4 linked regions of the Saccharomyces cerevisiae S288C genome follow. The protein of the gene in region 1 interacts with the protein of each later gene in a biochemical or structural test. Each region holds a gene or a part of one and is shown in the gene's direction. Other genes may lie near its edges. The genes, in order: MCM3, CDC7, PSF2 and PSF3.

Region 1 (9,406 bases):
TTCCGCTTCTCCTCTTCAGCCATCCAAGCCATGTGCTTTAAGTCGTCGCTGGAAGGTTCGTAGATGTGCCAGATGACATAATGGGGCAAGCCGATGACATTGTAATTCATCCTGCGGGAGAGCCTACCGAATGCTTCTGTCTCTGCGTGCTTTTCAAAGGAGAATGCAGGAAAGTGTGAGCCTGTTCTGAATACTTTAGCTTTCGCGAGAATCGAGACCCCTCCAATACCGTCCAATTCCATTTCGTCTTCTGGATTACCGTTTGGGTCTCTCATGTATGCCAGGTGAGGTCTCCAAGTGGCGTACTCTGGGTACCCTTCCACAATGACAGCATCTTCGTCTAGGGAATCCGCCAATTGAAGACCCCCTTCTGATTCCTTCCATGAATTTAAATCGTAGGGTTGAATGTTTCCCAGCCAGTCTGGTAAAGGTCTCCAGACGTTGGGGACAATGACGTCCTTGTCGTGATGCATTAGATCCTCCATGATGGTAGTGGGGATGGTTTCGACATCCACGTCTCTCCAGTAAACCCAGGAGTGGTATGGTTTCAGGGCCACGGACCCAAGCCAATTACGAGCCCTGGCCATCAGCTTTCTTCTGGGGCCCTGGGCGCCAAACCCGTGACGATCAGAAAAGGACTGACCAATGATTTGGCCGAAGTCCTTCTCATAGATTTCGATGTTACCAAACCTTTTGGACTTGTCTTGTTGCGATTGCGCCATCTGTAGATTGGATAGTAACACGCCCATGGTGTTATCCGAAGAGTCACTCACCAAAAACGACAGATCAATCAGGTTGTGCGGATATGTCATGGTATTCAGATGGTTAAAAAACATGGGAAGATGCTCAGAAGCATCTCTCAGTGGCACGCAAAACAAGATGCGGTCACCCTGTTGCCAACCATCTTTGTTGCCTTGGTAATTTCGTAGGTCGTAGAACTCTACGCTGGGAGTATTTTTAAAATCTGGAACATAGGGCTTGAAGATTCCTTGGAAAGTTACCAGCTGGAATAGCGATATCGAGAAGAACGAAAGCACGAGTCTTGTGAGAAAGAACACCGTAAGCAACGTTCCAGCGATACTTACTGTGGTAGGGTTGAACGAGAGTTTTCTGTTATTATACTTCATTATGGACGTACACTTTGCATGAAAGCCACAAGGAACTGTTTAATGGAGCGAAAAAAAGATGATGAGGGTAAATCGCACCAACACTCGCCTAGCAACTGAGTGATGAATGGTTTTGCAATGCTTGCTGTCTCTACTAACAGATCTTGGCGTTTTTGAATCGTGTAGTTATTTTTATTTATTTTTTTTATTTCATGTTTTCATGATTTCATCTTACGCAATTTTTTCACGATGAGACAAGGCGGGCGACCCCACACAAGAGGAAAATTGAACACAATGCGTTGGTAAAGGGATTACGAATTGATTAAACCAACATAGTGAGACAAGAAAAGAAAAGAAAAGAAAAGGAAAATGAAAAAAAATAAAAAAAAGAAGGCAACTAGACCAGATGAGCCCGGTTCATTTCTATTCTCTGCAGTCACTGCTATTTTCATCAACAGCGCAGGCCAAGTTGAACGAGATAGTAGCAATCGTAAAAGGAACTAGCTAACTTCATCATGAAAGTTTACCCTTTCTTGCCGCTACCCTTCTCGTTTGGCTGGTATTAGAGCACAGCGGATATATCCGGCTCAACAGTATAAGTAACGATAAGTCCTGACCATTGGCTTCGTTCTGGTGGCATTTTCTCTGAGGGGTGAGAACAGCAAAACGGGAACGGCGACTTGGAGTAGTATAACGCTGTAGCTGGACGCTGAGGGGCCAAGGCCGGTAAAATTCTGCAACACCCAGACCTTGCTGCAGTGATATCATCCACCCATACCCCTCGATGTATTCCGTAGCGTTATATCGGGTCCGTGTGAGGCGACAAGGGACCTCCCGCACCGCACATACCGCAGGAGCTAAAAGAAACGCCGTCGCCCGAAAAAAAGTTTCGAAGGTGAAGGAACAGTGGTAATAAAAATTTTTTTCGTCGTCGTCGTCGATCGGCTTTTGGCCGCGTTGATCGTCGTGTTCCACGATTATATAATGCACAAGGTTTTTGCCATATCTTGACATTGGAATCCCTCATTTCCTAAATTCCTCTCCTTCTATCAATTGCTTCCTTTCCTTCTTTCTAACGATTCTACTTCTGTAGCCAATTACTCATAGACTCCCAAACACACACAAATACCAACTCATATATACAATGTCTGACGAAGAACATACCTTTGAAACTGCTGACGCTGGTTCCTCCGCCACCTACCCAATGCAATGTTCTGCCTTGAGAAAGAACGGTTTCGTTGTCATCAAGAGTAGACCATGTAAGATTGTCGACATGTCCACTTCTAAGACTGGTAAGCACGGTCACGCTAAAGTCCATTTGGTTGCCATTGATATCTTCACTGGTAAGAAGTTGGAAGATTTGTCTCCATCTACTCACAACATGGAAGTTCCAGTTGTCAAGAGAAACGAATACCAATTGTTGGACATTGATGACGGTTTCTTGTCTTTGATGAACATGGACGGTGACACTAAGGATGATGTCAAGGCTCCAGAAGGTGAATTGGGTGACAGTTTGCAAACTGCTTTTGATGAAGGTAAGGACTTGATGGTTACCATCATCTCCGCTATGGGTGAAGAAGCCGCCATCTCCTTCAAGGAAGCTGCTAGAACCGATTAAACCGGTTAACATCATGGCATGGGATATAAATGAAAAAAGAAAAAAAAACTCCGACGCCCCTTCCATCACATCATGTACTCTTCGCTGAACCGGGTTTTTTTCTTTGCAATTTTTTTTTCGTTCTCCTAAAGCATACACAAATAAATCCTTTTTTTTATTTTCTATTTATTTTGTTATTTATCATCTATATAGCAATAATATACTTTGTTTTTATTCGTATTTCACACTTTTCTTTTTCCTTATGCAGGCAGTGTAATTCATTGGGGAGGATGATTTTCATGTGCGCATATCTACCGGCTGCAAGCAGCCGGTCGGTGGCAAATCCGGCGCTTCCCCCTCAAAAAAAAAAAAAAAAAAAAAAAAAGGGAACTCTCAGAACGGGGGAGGTTGAAGAGCAGGCCAAGGGAAATATTAGTTTTGACCTATGTGGGAAACAGAATTTTCAATGAGTTATGGCAACTTGGCCGAGTGGTTAAGGCGAAAGATTAGAAATCTTTTGGGCTTTGCCCGCGCAGGTTCGAGTCCTGCAGTTGTCGTTATTTTTCTCTTTTTTTTCAATTTCCCTTGTTCGTCAGATCGAGGCGGTAGAAGAAACAATTACTTTTCCTAAATGGGTAAAAACTCGTGTTTTAGGAAAAAAAAGAAAAATTTGGTCAAAACTCGAAAGATAGGTTCTTAATCTTCTTTCAAGTTGAAAAGGCCTACGCTCTTTTCCTTGAAGCATTTTCATCCTACTGCTCGTATTGAACTCCACTATAAGCGCACCAAAAAGATACAAACGTCAATTATGGAAGGCTCAACGGGATTTGATGGAGACGCTACTACTTTTTTCGCTCCAGACGCTGTGTTTGGTGACAGAGTGCGCAGATTTCAAGAGTTTTTAGATACTTTCACCTCATACAGAGACTCTGTAAGGTCCATACAAGTTTACAACAGCAATAACGCGGCCAACTACAACGATGATCAAGATGACGCAGACGAACGAGATTTGCTAGGTGATGACGACGGTGATGATCTTGAAAAGGAAAAGAAAGCAGCATCGTCCACCTCATTGAATATACTCCCTCACAGGATTATCATCTCGCTTGATGACTTGAGAGAATTCGACAGGTCGTTCTGGTCGGGCATTTTAGTCGAACCAGCATACTTCATCCCGCCTGCCGAAAAGGCGCTTACTGACCTAGCAGATTCCATGGACGATGTTCCACATCCCAATGCCTCTGCAGTATCGTCTCGCCATCCTTGGAAGCTTTCGTTCAAAGGCTCATTTGGTGCACACGCATTGTCTCCTCGTACTCTAACGGCACAACATTTAAACAAACTGGTCTCTGTTGAGGGTATCGTAACTAAGACTTCGTTGGTCAGGCCAAAGCTTATCAGATCTGTCCACTACGCGGCAAAGACTGGTAGATTCCATTACAGAGATTATACAGATGCTACTACAACTCTCACCACCCGCATCCCAACGCCTGCCATCTATCCAACGGAGGACACTGAAGGTAACAAACTAACCACCGAATATGGGTATAGTACGTTCATAGACCATCAGCGTATCACTGTGCAAGAAATGCCCGAAATGGCCCCCGCTGGCCAACTTCCCAGGTCCATTGACGTCATTCTCGATGACGACCTTGTGGACAAGACCAAGCCAGGTGACAGAGTTAACGTTGTCGGGGTATTCAAGTCGCTTGGTGCTGGTGGCATGAACCAGTCCAACTCTAATACATTGATCGGGTTCAAAACTCTGATCCTAGGTAATACGGTGTATCCTCTCCACGCCAGATCCACGGGTGTCGCTGCGAGACAAATGTTGACAGATTTCGATATAAGAAATATCAATAAACTATCCAAAAAAAAGGACATTTTCGATATCTTGTCTCAATCTTTAGCGCCTTCTATTTATGGACATGACCATATAAAGAAAGCCATTTTATTGATGCTCATGGGAGGTGTGGAGAAAAATTTAGAAAATGGCTCGCATTTAAGAGGTGACATCAATATCCTAATGGTGGGTGATCCATCCACTGCCAAGTCCCAATTGCTAAGGTTTGTGTTGAATACAGCATCACTGGCAATTGCTACTACTGGTAGAGGTTCTTCCGGTGTCGGTTTGACCGCAGCGGTCACTACTGATAGGGAAACAGGTGAAAGAAGACTAGAGGCTGGTGCCATGGTTCTTGCTGACCGCGGGGTTGTATGTATTGATGAATTTGATAAGATGACAGATGTGGATAGAGTCGCCATTCATGAAGTAATGGAACAACAAACGGTGACGATTGCCAAAGCAGGTATTCACACAACATTAAATGCTCGTTGTAGTGTTATTGCTGCCGCAAATCCCGTTTTTGGGCAGTACGATGTCAATAGAGATCCACACCAAAACATTGCCCTACCGGACTCGCTGTTGTCTCGTTTTGATTTACTATTTGTTGTGACAGACGATATCAATGAAATCAGAGATAGATCCATTAGTGAGCATGTCTTAAGAACACACAGATATTTGCCTCCAGGTTATTTAGAGGGTGAACCTGTGAGAGAGCGTTTGAATTTATCATTAGCCGTTGGGGAGGATGCAGATATAAATCCTGAAGAGCATTCCAACTCCGGGGCTGGTGTAGAAAATGAAGGAGAAGATGATGAAGACCATGTCTTCGAAAAGTTCAACCCCTTATTACAAGCAGGTGCTAAGTTAGCAAAAAACAAAGGTAACTATAACGGTACAGAAATTCCAAAGCTAGTCACCATCCCATTCTTAAGAAAGTACGTTCAATATGCCAAGGAAAGGGTTATTCCACAGTTAACACAAGAAGCCATCAATGTTATTGTGAAAAATTATACTGATTTAAGAAACGATGATAATACCAAAAAATCGCCCATTACTGCAAGAACTTTGGAGACTTTGATCAGATTAGCCACAGCTCACGCCAAAGTCAGGTTATCCAAAACAGTCAACAAGGTGGATGCTAAAGTGGCTGCCAATCTACTAAGGTTTGCACTATTGGGTGAGGATATCGGCAATGATATCGATGAAGAGGAAAGTGAATACGAAGAAGCTTTGTCGAAGAGGTCTCCACAGAAATCACCGAAAAAAAGACAAAGAGTCAGACAACCAGCAAGCAACTCTGGATCCCCAATCAAATCTACTCCAAGAAGGTCAACGGCATCTTCCGTTAATGCCACGCCATCGTCAGCACGCAGAATATTACGTTTTCAAGATGACGAACAGAACGCTGGTGAAGACGATAACGATATAATGTCACCGCTTCCTGCGGATGAGGAAGCTGAATTACAAAGAAGGCTTCAACTGGGGTTGAGAGTGTCTCCAAGACGTAGAGAACATCTTCACGCACCTGAGGAAGGTTCGTCGGGACCTCTTACCGAGGTCGGTACTCCAAGATTACCTAACGTATCTTCTGCAGGTCAGGATGATGAGCAACAACAGTCAGTTATTTCTTTTGACAATGTGGAGCCTGGTACCATTTCTACTGGTAGATTGTCTTTAATCTCAGGTATTATTGCGCGTCTGATGCAAACAGAAATATTTGAAGAAGAATCCTATCCTGTGGCCTCTTTGTTCGAAAGAATCAACGAAGAACTACCGGAGGAGGAAAAATTCTCCGCTCAAGAATATTTAGCAGGTTTGAAGATCATGTCGGACAGAAATAACTTAATGGTTGCTGACGATAAAGTTTGGAGAGTCTGATGTCACAGGAATGTTTACTAAAAGACTTCCATTCTTGGCTTTTTTTCTTTTTGTCATTCATAATTTTCAGTTCATTTCCAGATTATTTAGTTCATTAATTGTTATTCGTGTATTAAAGAATTATGTATTAAAACGCTTATTTCCTTCTTTTGTTTGAATGTGTTGTAAGCAGTTATGGGGCACTATATCTTCTGTTAATGAATATGTGTGATACTTTGGCTTATCTTACTTGCTCATTCGTGGCTTCTTGTCACGCCATACGTTACGCGTTTCTCTTCCTCTTCGCGTGTTCTGAATAAAGCCAAGTGGCAATGTCTCTTCCACCATATAACATGAAGCTTTAGCAAGCTTTTAGCTCTAGACATAGTTGACATATCAGACCTACAGAAACATAGGAATCGGTAAATGACAAAGAAATCATTTGTGAGCAGTCCTATTGTTAGGGACTCGACATTGCTGGTACCAAAGTCATTAATAGCAAAGCCGTACGTATTACCGTTTTTCCCGTTATACGCTACCTTTGCCCAACTATATTTCCAGCAATATGATCGTTACATCAAAGGACCTGAGTGGACTTTTGTCTACTTGGGGACATTGGTATCCTTGAACATCCTAGTCATGTTAATGCCTGCTTGGAATGTCAAGATCAAGGCGAAATTCAACTACAGTACTACTAAAAATGTCAATGAAGCTACTCACATTCTCATCTACACCACTCCAAATAATGGTTCTGATGGTATCGTTGAAATTCAGAGAGTAACTGAAGCGGGCTCTTTGCAGACTTTTTTCCAATTTCAAAAGAAAAGATTCTTGTGGCATGAAAATGAGCAGGTATTTTCTTCACCAAAGTTCCTTGTTGATGAATCCCCAAAGATCGGTGATTTCCAAAAATGTAAGGGCCATTCCGGTGACCTAACTCATTTGAAGAGACTATATGGTGAGAATAGTTTTGATATTCCTATTCCAACATTTATGGAATTATTCAAAGAGCACGCTGTTGCGCCATTGTTTGTTTTCCAAGTTTTCTGTGTTGCCTTATGGCTATTGGATGAGTTCTGGTATTATTCTTTGTTTAACTTATTCATGATTATCTCCATGGAGGCAGCTGCAGTATTTCAAAGATTAACTGCCTTGAAGGAATTTAGAACTATGGGTATCAAACCTTATACCATTAACGTGTTTAGAAACAAAAAATGGGTAGCATTGCAAACCAATGAATTGTTACCTATGGATTTAGTGTCTATAACAAGAACCGCCGAGGAGAGCGCAATTCCTTGCGATTTGATCTTGCTCGATGGCTCCGCTATTGTTAATGAAGCAATGCTTTCAGGTGAATCTACTCCCTTGTTAAAGGAATCCATTAAATTACGTCCTAGTGAAGATAATTTACAACTGGACGGTGTTGACAAGATTGCTGTGTTACATGGTGGTACAAAGGCATTACAAGTAACACCTCCTGAACATAAATCGGATATCCCTCCTCCACCTGATGGAGGTGCCTTAGCCATCGTCACCAAAACTGGCTTTGAAACATCTCAGGGTTCTTTAGTTCGAGTTATGATTTACTCCGCTGAACGTGTTTCCGTCGATAATAAGGAAGCGTTGATGTTCATTCTTTTCTTGTTGATTTTCGCTGTTATTGCATCCTGGTACGTTTGGGTTGAGGGTACAAAAATGGGTAGAATTCAATCCAAATTGATCTTGGACTGTATATTAATTATTACATCTGTTGTTCCTCCTGAGTTACCAATGGAATTGACCATGGCTGTCAACAGTTCTCTGGCCGCCCTTGCCAAGTTCTATGTCTATTGTACTGAACCATTTAGAATTCCATTTGCTGGTAGAATTGATGTTTGTTGTTTCGATAAAACTGGTACTTTGACCGGCGAAGATCTTGTGTTTGAAGGTCTAGCTGGTATCTCTGCGGACTCCGAAAACATTCGTCACTTGTACAGCGCTGCCGAAGCACCAGAAAGTACAATTCTTGTCATTGGTGCTGCTCACGCTTTAGTTAAATTGGAAGATGGTGATATTGTTGGTGACCCAATGGAAAAGGCGACCTTAAAGGCTGTTGGTTGGGCTGTCGAAAGAAAAAACAGTAACTATAGAGAGGGCACCGGAAAATTGGATATTATCCGTAGATTTCAATTTTCTTCTGCTTTAAAAAGGTCTGCTTCTATTGCTTCTCACAACGATGCCTTGTTTGCTGCTGTCAAAGGTGCACCTGAAACGATTCGTGAAAGGCTTTCTGACATTCCCAAGAATTATGACGAAATCTATAAATCCTTTACACGCTCTGGTTCAAGAGTTTTGGCTTTGGCTTCTAAGTCGTTGCCAAAAATGTCTCAGTCTAAAATTGATGATCTAAACCGTGATGATGTTGAATCTGAATTAACCTTTAATGGGTTTTTGATTTTCCATTGTCCTCTGAAGGATGACGCTATTGAAACCATTAAAATGTTAAATGAATCCTCCCATCGTTCTATTATGATTACTGGTGATAATCCATTAACTGCTGTTCATGTGGCTAAAGAAGTTGGCATAGTTTTTGGCGAAACTTTAATCTTAGACAGAGCAGGTAAATCTGACGACAATCAGTTGCTGTTCCGTGATGTTGAAGAGACAGTTTCCATCCCATTTGATCCATCAAAAGACACTTTTGATCATTCTAAATTATTTGATAGATATGATATTGCTGTTACTGGATATGCTTTGAATGCCTTGGAAGGGCATTCTCAATTAAGGGATCTATTACGTCACACCTGGGTTTACGCACGTGTTTCACCATCCCAAAAGGAGTTCTTGCTGAATACACTAAAGGATATGGGATATCAAACTTTAATGTGCGGTGATGGTACTAATGATGTTGGTGCTTTGAAACAAGCTCATGTTGGTATTGCATTGTTGAATGGTACCGAAGAAGGTTTGAAAAAATTGGGTGAACAACGCAGATTGGAAGGTATGAAAATGATGTATATA
Region 2 (5,021 bases), on another chromosome or scaffold:
TTCTGGCTTAACAGTTTTACATTTAGATATCTTATAACTATTAAGGCTTTGGGATAGCATGTTCAATCTTGCCTGTAATGCGGATTGACTCTTTGTAAACAATTTTACAAGATACATTAATAGATGAATCGGCAATTTTTCTTTTTCAAAGTTGTGTTATATCCTTGTATTTTCTGGCACACTTGCTTATCACTTCTTTCACTAAAAATATAGTTTAACACTCCAAGAGGAATACCATCCCCAAGCGAGTTGATTGACTGCAAGTGTAATTAAATAGGTGGAAATTGCATGGTGCATATGCCAATGGCTAAGAAAAAATTACTCTTACAAAGATTATTTTGTCAATTTCTCGAAGAAAACAATGCTACATTTTGAAATAGGATTTTTTAAATCGTGACATGTGCTTTAATAGAAACGTCACTTCAGCTCTGTCATTACATAAGATTTAACATGAGCAAAAGGGCTATTTTGGATACGGTATGTCATTCCTTTCCCCTATTAAATATGAAGAACATATATTCTCAAGTTGATAGAAAATGCAGGAACAATACACAACTATTTACACATTATGCTTTCTCGATTCTCTGAAAATGAACTCCAGTATGGCAATTTGAGCGCAGCTCATTCCGATGATTAATAATATGCCGTAAATAGAAAACATTACAATTCTATGCTCTGTTGAACAAACGGTGTGATGATTTCTGGTGTTTCTGCTTTTATAGTACTGTATATTACGTTCCAAAACGTGGAGCTGCCTTTCTATGGTGTCTATAGAATTTTCCACACTGTCTTGCAAGGGATCGGTTTTAGAGTCTCTCAGGTTTCTCTGCGCCTTTCTCGCCTTGCGTCTTTCATTTCGAATATCATCTTGGCGTTCACAATTGTACTTGAAGTCCAGATCAACAATCTTGTCGTGTGCTTTACCACCATAAAAGCAGATAGCATATTCTCCCTTATGTTGGCCTATAAATGACCATTCACCTTGACGTTCACCAGATCTCTCGATTATTGGCTTGTTTTTGTCATCAGGAGCAAATATTTCGTAGTTAACATCAAAGTCATTGCTCTCTCCTTGCTGTACTGCAAAATAATATGAGATTGTACAGTCAATTTCCGGAGTTAGCGTATATAAGCACTCCTTTCGACCTTTATTCAGTTCAAATGTCAACGGTGATGCCTCAGCAAAAAATTGTGCTAAAAAAAAAAACTGGAAGAAAAGTACACATAAATTGGACATGACGGAGTTTTTTAGTCAGTTCACAGTGTCCCTTCAAGTACGGTAACTATCAAGAGCCTTACCAGTTTCTGTCAAGATATTGTCCCCCCAAATTCTTTCATTGAGGAGAGGATTATGAAGAACGCGTTCTGTTTTAAAGAGAGAAAAATTCAGGTCAGGACGCGTTGGTCTCACCTTTGTTGACATAATGACCATGACAGTGTAGGAAGTCTAAGTAGTATGTGGAAACCTACGCGATCATACTGATACGTTCGTAAACTTTATCAACGAACGACGCTTTTTTTTTAAACCTCTATATAAGCATGTTTTTAGCTTGGGAAATTAAGGTGTAGCCCTGGTTTTGAAGATAATTAAGAATCTAATGGGGCAATGCTTGTGTAGATGACATTTTATAGAGTAAAATTACTTCCCGTTTAGCTCGATAAACGCCTTAGGCCTACATAAATCTTAAACATTTGTCCCCGGTCAGCTTTTAAATTATGTCTTCTTTGCCCTGGGGCGTCTTCTTGAACGGCATCAATTTAGTGAGTAGAAGAGCACTTCACATTTCCGCCTAAAATCAATGCAAGAACCATTAACAAAAAAAACCGCTCAGCAGGCGTAACGGGAAGTAACAGACTACCTTAAATTTTCAATAACAATTGTGCTATTATCTAATTTTCTTAGGAAAGAGGCAGTTTCGAAGTAGAACAATCATAATGACAAGCAAAACGAAGAATATCGATGATATACCTCCAGAAATCAAAGAAGAGATGATACAGCTCTATCATGATCTACCGGGTATAGAAAATGAATATAAACTCATAGACAAGATCGGTGAGGGAACATTTTCGTCAGTGTATAAAGCCAAAGATATCACTGGGAAAATAACAAAAAAATTTGCATCACATTTTTGGAATTATGGTTCGAACTATGTTGCTTTGAAGAAAATATACGTTACCTCGTCACCGCAAAGAATTTATAATGAGCTCAACCTGCTGTACATAATGACGGGATCTTCGAGAGTAGCCCCTCTATGTGATGCAAAAAGGGTGCGAGATCAAGTCATTGCTGTTTTACCGTACTATCCCCACGAGGAGTTCCGAACTTTCTACAGGGATCTACCAATCAAGGGAATCAAGAAGTACATTTGGGAGCTACTAAGAGCATTGAAGTTTGTTCATTCGAAGGGAATTATTCATAGAGACATCAAACCGACAAATTTTTTATTTAATTTGGAATTGGGGCGTGGAGTGCTTGTTGATTTTGGTCTAGCCGAGGCTCAAATGGATTATAAAAGCATGATATCTAGTCAAAACGATTACGACAATTATGCAAATACAAACCATGATGGTGGATATTCAATGAGGAATCACGAACAATTTTGTCCATGCATTATGCGTAATCAATATTCTCCTAACTCACATAACCAAACACCTCCTATGGTCACCATACAAAATGGCAAGGTCGTCCACTTAAACAATGTAAATGGGGTGGATCTGACAAAGGGTTATCCTAAAAATGAAACGCGTAGAATTAAAAGGGCTAATAGAGCAGGGACTCGTGGATTTCGGGCACCAGAAGTGTTAATGAAGTGTGGGGCTCAAAGCACAAAGATTGATATATGGTCCGTAGGTGTTATTCTTTTAAGTCTTTTGGGCAGAAGATTTCCAATGTTCCAAAGTTTAGATGATGCGGATTCTTTGCTAGAGTTATGTACTATTTTTGGTTGGAAAGAATTAAGAAAATGCGCAGCGTTGCATGGATTGGGTTTCGAAGCTAGTGGGCTCATTTGGGATAAACCAAACGGATATTCTAATGGATTGAAGGAATTTGTTTATGATTTGCTTAATAAAGAATGTACCATAGGTACGTTCCCTGAGTACAGTGTTGCTTTTGAAACATTCGGATTTCTACAACAAGAATTACATGACAGGATGTCCATTGAACCTCAATTACCTGACCCCAAGACAAATATGGATGCTGTTGATGCCTATGAGTTGAAAAAGTATCAAGAAGAAATTTGGTCCGATCATTATTGGTGCTTCCAGGTTTTGGAACAATGCTTCGAAATGGATCCTCAAAAGCGTAGTTCAGCAGAAGATTTACTGAAAACCCCGTTTTTCAATGAATTGAATGAAAACACATATTTACTGGATGGCGAGAGTACTGACGAAGATGACGTTGTCAGCTCAAGCGAGGCAGATTTGCTCGATAAGGATGTTCTCCTAATATCTGAATAGCAAAGTGATAAATTACTGCTAGTCTGAAATAATTTCCTTTTCTTTGGAAAGAGAATTTTAAAAGTACTTACATATTTGCATAGTGAAAGATTTAAATAAAAATTTCTTAAAGTGAAACGGTTTAGCATAATTGGTGGCATGCGCTTAAGATAGTGCCAAATACCAAAAGGCACAGGTGCAGACGATACTTAAACAATAGTGCTACTACGCCACTTCGTGAAAGCTAATATCTCTTTACCTTGCATTTGGGCATGTTGCAAACAGGAGGATCAAAATACAAATGGAATCAAGAATGCTCTTCTGGTATGATACTTTTTGTTTTTCTTTTGAGCCCATGCGTACATTTGAGCTGTTGAAACAGTCAAAAATAAAACGGCAAATAAATTGAACTTGAACACAAAAGTAAACCAAATCCAAGACCAAACTTCAAAAGTATAGTTGGGAGCAACAAAAAGATTGAAAATACCTTGATTCAATGGGACACGGATCTTAGCGTTACCATGCTTCTTTTGATAGTCACCCCATAGGCGCAATTTAATGTGGCAATAAAAGTTCCATAGTTCTGAAAGCACGAAAAGACCAATTAATGTACTCAAGTCATCCAATTTCAAATATGAATAGTATTTGAATAACTTAGCATTCCCAAAGGGGAAGCCGTAGCCAAAGTAACCGAATGAAATGAGACCGCTTAGAACCCAGTAATGGAAACAATTTTTGAACAGGTTGAAAATTGGCATAGTAGCTAAAGAGAATTGGTGAACAAATAAGGTTTCAAATAATCTCTTTCCATAATGTCCTAAAATTAAAAAATATGCAACCCTGTTTAAAAATGGATTATAGTCGGAGCTAGCACTGTGCCATCTATCAACAACTGTGGGAATGGTAGATAGATAATAAAAAAGGGAGTGAACCAAGACTGGACCCAAATACTCACAAAAGAAGACTAATCTCCATGAAATTTGGGGACCCAAATCTTTGATGAAGAATTCCATTGAGTCATCAGCCTCTTCTTGAAAAAACGATTCTGAAATAACCGGAACTTGTTTAGATTCCTTTTTGTAGGTTAATCTTATCCTGTACTTGCTGATATTGTGGTTATTAGCAGAGATTTTTTTCAAAACATCATCTAAAGTAGGCTTTTTGGATAAGTCAATTTCAGTGTCCCTTAACCCTTTAGAGCGGCTTTTTATGGTGATAGGCATTTTCAAATTAAATTCAAAATATGTATCTCTCTCAAATAGCTCAATTGGTTTCTAGATAGCTAAATAGAATATAATCTTACTGTCCTCCGTTCTGTAAAATTCACGCTCTTAGTCCCTTTTCATAATTCCTTAACTTTTTGCGTACAAAATGATATGTTTATTATATTTTTCTTTTTTTTTTTTCAAATTTTTTCTTTTTCTTGAAAAATTTTTCAAATTGGAAAGCTCATCTCTCTTGAATGTATAATACTTTCTTCCTCTAACTTTCAAAAAGTTTTACATAGCCAAGAAGTTTTCCTTACATCGGTATACTACTGTTATATAAGTTATTCTTCGAGAAACAATTAGATATCATTCATC
Region 3 (7,115 bases), on another chromosome or scaffold:
GAAATGAGGTTTTACCTATTAGCCAAAGTGTTTCTGGAGTTTGATAATTTCATTGAAGGTGAGTACCTAGCAGAAATTTTCATAAAATACGTTATTCATATCCTCGAAAAATCAAAGTACCAATTGGCCCAAGTATCAGTTAATTTTCAATTCTATTCCAGTGGTGAAGACTGGTACAAGAAATTTTCTCAATGGTTGCTACGATGGAAGCTAGTATCGTATAATATCCGCTGGAATATACAAATTGCCAGGATTTTTCCCAAACTATTCAAGGAAAATGTCGTGTCAAATTTCCAGGAGTTTTTGGATCTTATCTTCAATCCTTTATTCACTCTGGAAAAGGAGCAGTTACCAATAGATTCATCTGTAAATACTGATATCATTGGTCTGCAGTTTTTTTTATCAAATGTGTGTTCTATGGATCTGGTCATTAAAGAGTCGGATGAATATTACTGGAAAGAATTTACTGATATGAATTGTAAGCCAAAATTTTGGACAGCACAGGGTGACAATCCAACTGTTGCGCATTACATGTATTATATTTATAAAAGTTTAGCGAAAGTTAATTTTCTGCGGTCACAAAATCTTCAAAATACAATCACCCTAAGAAATTATTGTTCTCCACTATCCAGCAGAACTTCCCAATTTGGAGTGGATTTATATTTTACAGATCAAGTTGAATCGTTAGTGTGCAACTTACTGCTTTGTAATGGTGGTCTGCTACAGGTAGAACCGCTTTGGGATACTGCAACAATGATTCAATATTTATTTTATCTCTTTCAAATACCCATTTTAGCTGCGCCATTATCATCTGTTTCATTACTGAATTCGCAAAAATCGACCTTTTTGAAGAATAAAAACGTGCTTCTAGAACATGATTATTTGAAAGACCAGGAAACAGCCAAAATCAATCCTTCTAGAGATATCACTGTGGGCGAACAAAGATCATATGAGACAAATCCTTTCATGAAAATGTTTAAGATGGGACTAAAAATTTCTTTATCATCAAAATCGATTCTTTACAATAGTTCATACACGCTAGAACCTCTCATTGAAGAATACAGTGTAGCAGCAAGTATTTACTTGCTGAACCCAACAGATTTGTGCGAGTTGTCGAGAACAAGTGTGCTATCTAGTGGCTATGAAGGTTGGTACAAGGCTCATTGGATTGGCGTTGGAGTTAAAAAGGCGCCTTACTTTGAGGAGAACGTGGGTGGGATAGATAATTGGTACGATACAGCGAAAGATACCTCGATAAAGCACAACGTTCCGATGATTAGAAGAAGATATAGAAAGGAGACATTGGATCAAGAGTGGAACTTCGTTCGGGATCACTTTGGAGTAATTAACTCCATTTGGTAGGGTAAAGTGAAATATCAACAACTTTGCATAGTAAGATATATATATTTATATAGATACCTTAAAAACTGAAAATGAAAACTTGAAAGTTAAGGAGGAGGAGAATGCGTCTTTGTTTCATGAAATATTTTTTTCATTTTCCCAACTTGGCTTGATGTCCCTGACAGACCTCATGAATTCTCTTAAACGTTTCTTGTCACGTAGTGCCCTCTTAGCGTATTGAGGGTTACCGTAGTAAAATAGTTTAAATTGGCTTTGCTTTTCATCACAGTGTTCGGGGTCTAAGTCAATCGACAAATCTAGCACAGCAACGCTACGTTGAAAATACCACTTGTTCACCACATTGTCTTTTCTGCTTCTCCAAAGTATCTCATTAGGAAATTTTTTGAACATCAAATTGAAGATTATATCAGATATACCCAGCGAGCCTTTCAAGTGTGGTAGAACGGCGAACTTATCGAGATAAACAAAGGAATTTTCCTCCGAGCCTTCATAGGTAAGAATTGCAATGCCTTCATAATCACCTATCACAATAATTGTAGCTATTTTTCCATTAATCCTTTTTATGTAGTCATGCAAATCCAAAGATCTTTTAAAGCTCTGATCGATGATGGATTTAAATTTGTTGATATCTAGTTTTGGACTATTGCTCGAGGGTTTTGCTCCTTTCTCAGGTACGTGAAACTTCTTTGGAAGCCCAATTGAGTTGAATTGAGTCAGCGTCTTATAGTCATAAGTTTTGATATGGACGCCCTTTTTGAGAACAGTTGTCACTAAAACTGCATCTGAGTTAGAAGGAGCTGCATTTACCTGTTGGGAAGGCAATTCATACCATGCGTGATCATCAAACATGTTGGCTGGTGAGTCTATCTCGCCGTCCTTTTTTTTAAACCTTGGTAAAGAAGAAGAAATTAGCGATCGGTCTGTCAATAAATTATATACTAAAGGATTTTTCCTATCTGATGATAGTGCGGCAGCTTTGACAGTTGTAATCAGTCCCGTTGCTGTAGCCGCTAGATTTGATAAAACTTTGTCCATCAATAACAGGTTTTCTAAATGATCATGGTATTCACATTCTAAGGAAGATATCTCATCTTTTTTAACGTACACCTCCATTCTGTGTAACAGGTTTTGGGAGCGTGGCTCTCGTTTGGTTAGAGTGCTTATATTGTGAGATAATGACGAGGACAAATGCTCGAGTTCCTGAGAAAGATTGATGAATACATGAGCGTTATCATTTCTCTCTCCCGAAGGTATACCTCCGGCATTATTTAGAATGAAGAATTTGTCAATGTGTGGAATATTCCCTTGGCACAGGCAATCCATAAATTTTACAACATCCTTTGTCATGAATTCTGAAGCAGTCTCTTCATTATACACATAAGGTTTCACAATTGGTATAAAATTGGAATTTCCAATATCAAAGAAACGACTCTCTTGCGAAAAAACAGAATGATATAACCCAGTGCGGGATTTAGTAAGACCCTCCTTAAGGTGAAGTGGCTTTAAATCTGCTTCTGTAACGATACTGTCAAGTAACTCTGCCTGTATATTTACATGAGTTGGCGACGGCGGAATTACAAACATAGGTCGCAAACCTAGCATTCCTAGTCTCTTTATGACACTTGAAAACTGGGACAAAATCGCTGGTGCGACTTTATGCAGGTCCCTGATAAAAAACAAACAATGATTATGCTGCCCACTATCATTTGTATATTTTGAGAGATAATCCTTAGCCTCTCGTTTTGTAGCGGTTGTATTCAGAACTGAAAGGATCAAGTTTTTTGAAGATGCATTGGGTTGATCATACTTGAGTTCATGCGCGAATATTCTCCTCCACATGATAAAAGTAACCGACTAGTGTCCTAGATTGACGGTCCTAGCTTCAAATGTGTTAACTTTCACAATTTATGTCGAACGTGCTTATGACTCCATGGGAAGATCAGTGATGACTAACCTTTTTTTTCTCCAGCGTGAAATTTCTTGTGATATTTTCCATTTAATGAAAAATCAGTCGCCTAAAGTGTAACTATGAAATGGTTAACAAAAAAGAGTTTTATACTTAGAGAGGATCAACGGCTGATCTGAAATAAGACTAGTTTCATAGACGCATGTCACTACCGGCACATTTGCAGCAGACTTTCTCACCAGAAGAAATACAGTTCATTGTGGAAAACGAGCCAATAAAGATTTTTCCCAGAATAACAACACGCCAAAAAATTCGTGGCGATGATAGAGGAACTGGAAACCACACCCGCTGGCAACTTATTACTACAGATGACAAAGCTTTAAATAATATGGTAGCCATGCGTTCTACAGAAGTGGTTCTTTGGATCGCTCTATTACTGAAGCAACAATCCAAGTGCAGTATTGTAGCACCACAGTGGTTAACGACGAAAGAGCTTGATAGAAAAATACAATATGAGAAAACTCATCCGGATAGGTTTAGTGAGTTGCCGTGGAACTGGCTTGTCTTGGCACGTATACTTTTCAATAAAGCTAAGGATGATTTTCATGACCCCATTCACGAATTACGTGGTAAAATACAAGACTTAAGGGAAATAAGGCAGATCAAAGTGTTAAAAGGCCTTAAGTATTTGAATGAATCTCATTTACAATTGGATAATTTAAGTCTATTAGAAATCAATGAGTTGAGGCCGTTCATTACTGAAATCATGGATAAACTGCGAGAAATTCACACAGCATCTCTTACCGCTGGTACTGAAAATGATGAAGAAGAATTCAATATTTAAAAAAGTGCTGGCTTTGCAATAATTAGAACTTTCAGTGATATGCGTATGTATATATATGTACTTGTTGTGGTATCCTAGTTAATGGGCATAGAATGTATTTCATCAAAGCCCAAAATTCATTTTAAAGCCATTTCCGAATGGGAAGCCACTTCCTGGATTTTTGAACATGTTATTTTGCCTAGGCCCCTGAGGAAAAGTGTTGCGGCGGGGGTTTGATCTGGAAAGATCGTATTCCTTCCTTTTATCGTCATCACTTAATGTTTCGTACGCTTCATTGATTTGTGACATAGTTTCGTGAATTGATTCTTGTTTGTCGTTATGGTTGGCCTTTATTTTGTCTGGGTGGTATTTTTTGGTTAAATTTAAATATGCTTTCCTTATTTCTTTCGAACTAGCACTAGGCGATACTCCAAGAATTTTATAATAGTCCTTTTTTGGGTCGTAGTTAGGCGCTGCTGGGGGTGCTTGATGTCGTTGGTGTTGTTGCTGCTGTTGTTGTTGTTGGAAATATTGCTGGTTGAAATTCCGATGTTTATGCTCTTTATAGGTTTGTAATTGTTTCTGTAATAATCGGAAGTTCTTCATCACGTATGGATTGGTCGACTCTGAGAGGCCGTTATCTTGGAAAAATTTGTTTATCTGGTCATATAATTGCTTTTTGAACTGTGAATGAGGTTTAGACCTACTTTTATTAAGTATTGAGTTTACCATATACATCAGCAAATGAGGATTGGAATTCCATACATCACTCAATACCGTCTCAGGTAAAGGTTTTTGCTCGGACTTAGCATCCTGATAGTGTTTCCATGTTTCTAGTGTTAGTGAATGCCTCAAACTCTTTTTACAGAACGGCGCAGCCAGTTTAGCTCTCTTGACGTCCGGACTCATGCTAGAAGCCTGACAAAGAATGGAATCAATGTATACTAGATAATCGGTATGATAGTATGATTTTGGTTTGACAAAACCATCGGTTATTGGGGGATCTTCGAATAAATTTTTTGCCAAAGGTCTCGACAGTTGAACGTCTTCTATCAATTGTTTGATAATTTCCTCTAAAAAGAAGTAGTTGTTTTTAAAGTTTGTATCTTTGTTAAGAATTTTCATTGGTGTAATAAATGGCTTCTTATCCTTCAAATAAAATTCAATAATTCTATCCCAACTTCTAAACTTTTTGTTCTCAAATGCATATGTTGCTGGATCCAGGATCTGTCTTTTTGATGGATTCACCTTGTTCAATTTGGAAATAGTCAGGCTTAGTTTTTTACATTTATCATAGTCCATATCAATGGAAAGGCATTTTCTTATATTGAACGACGCATCTGAGTTAAGTACAAAGGTCTGTAAAACAGATATGACATAATGAATCGAAAGTCTTGTATCTATGCTTAAGCTAGCCAAATGCTTGTCGAGGATTGTTTCGTAATCCAAAATGATAGCAGCAGCTAACGAAACGTCAATTTCTTCAGCTAGTTTGTGAAAAAGAACATCGATGTGCGTGGAGAGGACGTTAACATCGTACGGCGTTATGCGTAGCAGCTCAGAAATATCTTCCTCCACAGAAACGTCTTTGGATGATATTTTGTTTCTGATGGTTTCATTCAAGGACAGATATTTCGCATACTGATCATCCTTCTGATGCACCTTGTCCCACATCCCAAAATCGACATACAGCTCTTGTAGCCTCTTTTCCGCCAGCTTCCCAAAAGAACCTTTGTAAGTTTCATTAAAAACGATTTTTTCAAATGTGTTAATAGCTCTTAGATGTTGATCGTTGGATAATTGGATCAGCCCAATTTTGTAGTATATTTGATTGGCTAGTTGAATTACGTCTGACATATTTTCACTTGCTGGATCCGCAGTCATGCAGTTTTGTTCCAACTGCCCAGCGATCCATTGGTATTTTGGCAAGGATTCAGTGTCTACTTTTAAATTCTTGTTCAATCGTTGTAACTCAGCCAAATCACATAACTTAGAAGCCGATATCAGTACTGGCAAAATAACGCTATACACTAAAAGACAGTATCCCGAGATCAGTATCATACTTCGTTTCGTAGACGTTAAGATCGGCCTTAGTAATACACTAAACCAACAATGAATGAAACCTTCTGGGCCCTTCTCGCAACCAACTCCTTTCACTTGGAATAACTTATAAGCAGTTTTGGCTCTATTTTTGCCTGCCATCGAAGTGTACACCTGTCACATTTCACTATTAGGAACCTAAAGAAAAAAAGTCTCAGGAATAGGAAAAGACGCGACGCGTTAGGAAATGATTAAACTAATTAAAGATGAGTTTTCAACCTCATCTTTAAACAGTTTCACCATTTTTTTACAAGACGACCTGCTGGAGTAACGGTAATAGTTCACGTCTGCAATGTATATCAAAAGGGTGATAATTAAGGGTTTTAAAACCTACAGGAACGAAACCATTATTGATAATTTCTCGCCGCATCAGAATGTTATTATTGGCTCCAATGGTTCAGGTAAATCGAATTTCTTCGCTGCGATTAGATTTGTTCTTAGTGACGATTACTCTAATCTTAAGAGGGAAGAAAGGCAAGGGCTTATCCACCAAGGTTCTGGTGGTTCAGTGATGAGTGCCTCGGTAGAAATTGTGTTCCACGATCCAGATCATTCTATGATATTGCCCTCCGGTGTACTTTCGAGAGGAGATGACGAAGTGACCATTAGAAGAACAGTAGGGCTGAAGAAGGATGACTATCAATTAAATGACAGAAACGTGACCAAAGGGGACATAGTCAGAATGTTGGAAACCGCTGGTTTTTCAATGAATAATCCGTATAATATAGTACCACAAGGTAAAATAGTCGCCTTAACTAATGCCAAGGATAAGGAAAGATTGCAGTTATTGGAAGATGTTGTAGGAGCTAAGTCATTTGAAGTAAAATTGAAAGCTTCATTGAAAAAAATGGAGGAAACAGAGCAGAAAAAGATTCAAATTAACAAGGAAATGGGTGAACTAAACTCTAAATTGAGTGAAATGGA
Region 4 (3,943 bases), on another chromosome or scaffold:
TTGAAGTAGCTGTTGCTGTGGAGTCAATGGTGCTGTCATCGATATTCTAGCGTTGAAGGGGGTTGGATTGATGTTTGCACTTAAAGCCTGCTGTTTTCTTTTTTCTTTATTTATTCTCCATTGTTCAATAAATTTCAGCCTGCTAAATTGATTATTATCGTTACCCATGGTAGATCCCACTGCAGCCGCAGCCGCTGCCGCTGCCAAAGCTACTTGATTGCCATTAGCCAAACTGTTATTCCTTGTATTTGATGCGGAATTCGAAGTTGAGGACGAAGCTCCACGTACCCCGTTGGAACTGGAGCTAGCAATCTCCATCGCATTCTTGGTTAACGAAACAGCAAACGTGGAGTTGGTTATCGTTGTTGTGCGTTCATTCATGATCAACATCAACTGTTCATAATTTGAACTATGTTGCGGAAATTCATCGCGTTCTTCGATATGCCCTACAACGCCCTTCGTGCCTTCTCTCGTAGACTCAGCACGATGTTCGTGAATGAAGGATTTTTTTTCACTATCCCAATGAGGTTCTGAAAAAGCTGTTTCCTCCAACATGTCTCGGTGCTCATATGGATTTAATGGCACACTTAGTGACAAGTTCCTCTTGGTAAGTGTTAAAATTTCAGATTCAAACTGTTGATAAATGCTATCAGAAAACCTGGCATTATCTGCATAAGACATCATGTCATAATACGTCGTCAAATCATTAGGCTTCAACAATGTTCGATATACTCTAGGTCGTTTGAAGGATGCCTTCTTATTTGCTGTGTTTGCGCCTGTATTTGCCACACCACTATTAGGTTCGGATGGTTGTTGAATCTTGGAATTGTCCTGTGTGCTATTATTATTTGAAGGGGAAGAAGAGCTGTTCAAATTAGGCTTGTTCTCTTTGGGGGTGACATCAACTGTATTAGTATGGTCATAAACCTGTAAAATAAGATTTCCTTCGTAAAATTGGATATTACAGTCCCTTAAGACTTCCATAATAGCATCAGGAATCCTTCCTCTTGCGACGTACTCTAAAAATTCTTTCAAAGTTTCGTTATTTTTGGTTAATATTAAACCGTCACTAGTCAGCTCGGGTTGCTTTTGCTGCTGTTGTAACCTGCTATTTGCAGGAGCGCAAATCTTATAATTATTCTCATAAATATGAAATTCAAAACTGTGTAAATATTGCTCATATTTTTTCAAAATTGAGTCTGCATCTTCCACAAAATTGTAAAGTCTTTTAGGTCTTTTGTTTAAGGTCATAAGCATTTGATAAAACTGAGCCTCATAGTTTTGGAGTGCTTGCTGTTTTCTCTGTTGTTCGAGTAGTCTTTGCTGTAGTAATAATCGTTGTCTTTGCTGCAATTGCTGTATTTGCTCCCTGGTTAAAGTCCTAGTACCTTCATTGGCATTACTATTACTGTTTGTCCTCATAACAGGATGATTTACATTTGCTACCGCTGGGTTCATAGGAGGTGGTACATTAACTGGACTGCCTGGCGAACCCATATTGGATGGTGTTGCGTTCACAGGAATACCAAATACATGGGGATCGTTTCCTGTCGGGCTATTGGCACTCATCCCTGAAATATATAGGCGCAAATTAACCGTAACTATTCCTTCCTAATCCTCTTGAAGGCTACTTTTCTCATTCTTTTATCTCTGCTGGTCGATCATCTTAACACTTCTTCATGATTAATGGTCGTCAGGTATCACGAGCGGGTAACAGAACTAAGCAGTTATAGCGATCCCAGTTTTACTTTAAAGATAGTTAGTTAGTTATTAATGGTGCGGATAACAAGAACTATTGTCACTCAGAATCTTATACAGGTATGGACATGGAACATTGGGTCATATACATAAGAAATAAATTATAAAGAAGGGTCGAATCAAACATAAGCGGAGAATAGCCAAATAAAAAAAAAAGATGAAAAGAAAGCTATGTAGCTTTCCACATGTCTTGCATACCAAGGATAGATGTGACAACACCGGATAGCGCAACATACTCTTCGTTGCTAGACAAGTACCCTAGGTTGTTGAGGACGATGAACGAATCTGCAGCATCCCAGAATAGTCTTCTTAACGCGGTGTACCTGTCTTGGTATGCCTTCCCTAGTACCTTCTTGTGATCCTCATGCTCATCGCCTTGGCTTTGTGATTTTGCCTTGACAAACGCAGCAATCTGGGCATGAGATGTTTGGATCTTACGAAGATCCATAGCCAGACCACTTAGGAGGCCGAACAGCCAACACCAATTGGACCAGCGAGGTATTTTCTTACCGGTAAGAACGGTTACAGGAATCACTTTCAAAATTCTCAAAAGATTGACTTGATCTAACGACAAATATGCAGCAAAGAAGATGTTTTTCAAAACATTGCAGACTCTAACGACGTTGTCGCTGGCCAACTTGTTATCGTAGAATTTAGCAGCTGCCTGCAAGTGGTTTAAAGGCTTCAGAAACCTCAGAAATTTTCTGACTGTGGTAAATTGAGCTTGTAATTGCCTGGCCAAGAGAGATGAGTTCTGTACTGCTAAAAATCTTGCTAAATACTGCAGTAATCTGAGAACCTTTTCTCTGCCAGCTGAGCCATCTAGAAATTTGACGAATCTCGTCACGGAGGGATGATATACCAGTGTATCACAGACCATATTGATTATACTATTACTTGATGAAGTCTTTGAAGTAGTAGATGGAGACAACGGTTTTTCAGTTGTTGGAGTCACTTCCCTTTTATATCTATAAATGATATACCCATCGCTTCGGGTTCTCCGAGATAAATGCCGACGCGTAGTGAAAATCGCAATGGAATTGATGCCAACTTTGTTCTTGGTATTATATTTTTACAATAGAAGGGCAAGCATAGAAAGGATGGGTTACTATGACATTGATGATGTCCTAGCAGATGGGACAGAGTTTCCTTGTAAATTTCAATATGATATTCCTGGTCTTGGTTATTTGGAAAACAACCCAGGACGACCCATAACGAAAAACACTAAACTAAGCCTGCCACTATGGTTAGCAAGAATCCTTGCAATTGTGGGTGGTGACGAAGCCTTGGTAGATGAAGAACCTGTACCTTTTGTGGAACTCCTGCCACCAGATATGTTTTCTACGAAAGTTATGAACGCTATAAAGACCGATCCGGTGGCTCTGGACTTGCATTCCATAAATTCGCATTTCTTCAGTCTAGCCATAAAATGGATAATGTTGTTTAGCGAAAAAGAACTGGCCAATGTCGTTAGTGAGCTACTTTTGCAACGTGCCCAAGAACTTAATCATCATGCTAGTAGTTTATCGATTGATCTCAATGCAGACTCGACCGGAAAAAATTCAGCGAACACTAATATAGCAACTAGCACATTTTTACTGAAACTAGAAGAAATGGAGAAGGAGATATATAAAAAGTCTCATGAATCTTATAAGGACACGAAAAGGTGGATGTTTAAAAAATAACACATCTTTTTCTTTAGAAATACACTATATAAAATAACTATAAAAAAAAGGCAACAGTATAATATTAAGTTTCTTTAAAAGTCTTGATTCTAACCCTCGCCTCTTCTTAGAACAATCCGTCGTTATCATCATTATCATTGTTTTCGTCGTTGTCATCGTTTTTATTTTGTTCCGAACCGCTCATTTGAGCTTCTTCCTCATCACTATCTTCAATAAATTCATTCGATAGTTGAGATTTTTTGCCCTTATTGTGAGAAGGCTTTTTCACCACATCATCGTCATCCTCGTCGCTGTCGGAAAGAGTTTTTTTAGCAGCTTTCCTTCTCTTAGATTCACCGCTATTTTTAGTTTTTGTTGACCTCTTTCTTTTTTGTCTTGGCTTTTCTTCGTCATATTCATTGTCTTTATCAGACAGATCTGAATCATCTTTAACATTATGTTCACTTATGGCCATGGCTTCTCGCTCCTGGATTAACTTTTGTGCCTCATCTTGTAGTTTC

What was found.
Region 2: of the proteins of MCM3 (region 1) and CDC7, one has a biochemical effect on the other in vitro, tested with the Saccharomyces cerevisiae proteins (2 studies listed by BioGRID).
Region 3: the proteins of MCM3 (region 1) and PSF2 form a complex in vitro, tested with the Saccharomyces cerevisiae proteins (4 studies listed by BioGRID).
Region 4: the proteins of MCM3 (region 1) and PSF3 form a complex in vitro, tested with the Saccharomyces cerevisiae proteins (3 studies listed by BioGRID).

Annotation. Positions count from the first base shown.
Region 1 is NC_001137.3:83,426-92,831, forward strand, and holds MCM3 (MCM DNA helicase complex subunit MCM3), read left to right. Parts: upstream 1-3,511; coding exon 3,512-6,427; downstream 6,428-9,406. Other genes in the region: ANP1 (Anp1p), read right to left, coding at 1-1,127; UTR5 (Utr5p), read right to left, coding at 1,620-2,120; HYP2 (translation elongation factor eIF-5A), read left to right, coding at 2,251-2,724; MTC7 (Mtc7p), read left to right, coding at 2,754-3,173; ion-transporting P-type ATPase SPF1, read left to right, coding at 6,833-9,406. UniProt on the Saccharomyces cerevisiae protein: Acts as a component of the MCM2-7 complex (MCM complex) which is the putative replicative helicase essential for 'once per cell cycle' DNA replication initiation and elongation in eukaryotic cells.
Region 2 is NC_001136.10:422,274-427,294, forward strand, and holds CDC7 (serine/threonine protein kinase CDC7), read left to right. Parts: upstream 1-1,935; coding exon 1,936-3,459; downstream 3,460-5,021. Other genes in the region: ERP3 (Erp3p), read right to left, coding at 560-1,237; trans-2-enoyl-CoA reductase (NADPH) TSC13, read right to left, coding at 3,729-4,661. UniProt on the Saccharomyces cerevisiae protein: Serine/threonine-protein kinase. Needed for the initiation of DNA synthesis during mitosis as well as for synaptonemal complex formation and commitment to recombination during meiosis. Required for HTA1-HTB1 locus transcription repression.
Region 3 is NC_001142.9:302,218-309,332, reverse strand, and holds PSF2 (DNA replication protein PSF2), read left to right. Parts: upstream 1-3,470; coding exon 3,471-4,112; downstream 4,113-7,115. Other genes in the region: YJL070C (metallo-dependent hydrolase superfamily protein), read left to right, coding at 1-1,362; ARG2 (acetyl-CoA:L-glutamate N-acetyltransferase), read right to left, coding at 1,477-3,201; JEM1 (Jem1p), read right to left, coding at 4,215-6,152; cohesin subunit SMC3, read left to right, coding at 6,484-7,115. UniProt on the Saccharomyces cerevisiae protein: Functions as part of the GINS complex which plays an essential role in the initiation of DNA replication by binding to DNA replication origins and facilitating the assembly of the DNA replication machinery.
Region 4 is NC_001147.6:46,006-49,948, forward strand, and holds PSF3 (DNA replication protein PSF3), read left to right. Parts: upstream 1-2,858; coding exon 2,859-3,443; downstream 3,444-3,943. Other genes in the region: SPT20 (Spt20p), read right to left, coding at 1-1,569; PEX11 (Pex11p), read right to left, coding at 1,928-2,638; CTR9 (Ctr9p), read right to left, coding at 3,550-3,943. UniProt on the Saccharomyces cerevisiae protein: Functions as part of the GINS complex which plays an essential role in the initiation of DNA replication by binding to DNA replication origins and facilitating the assembly of the DNA replication machinery.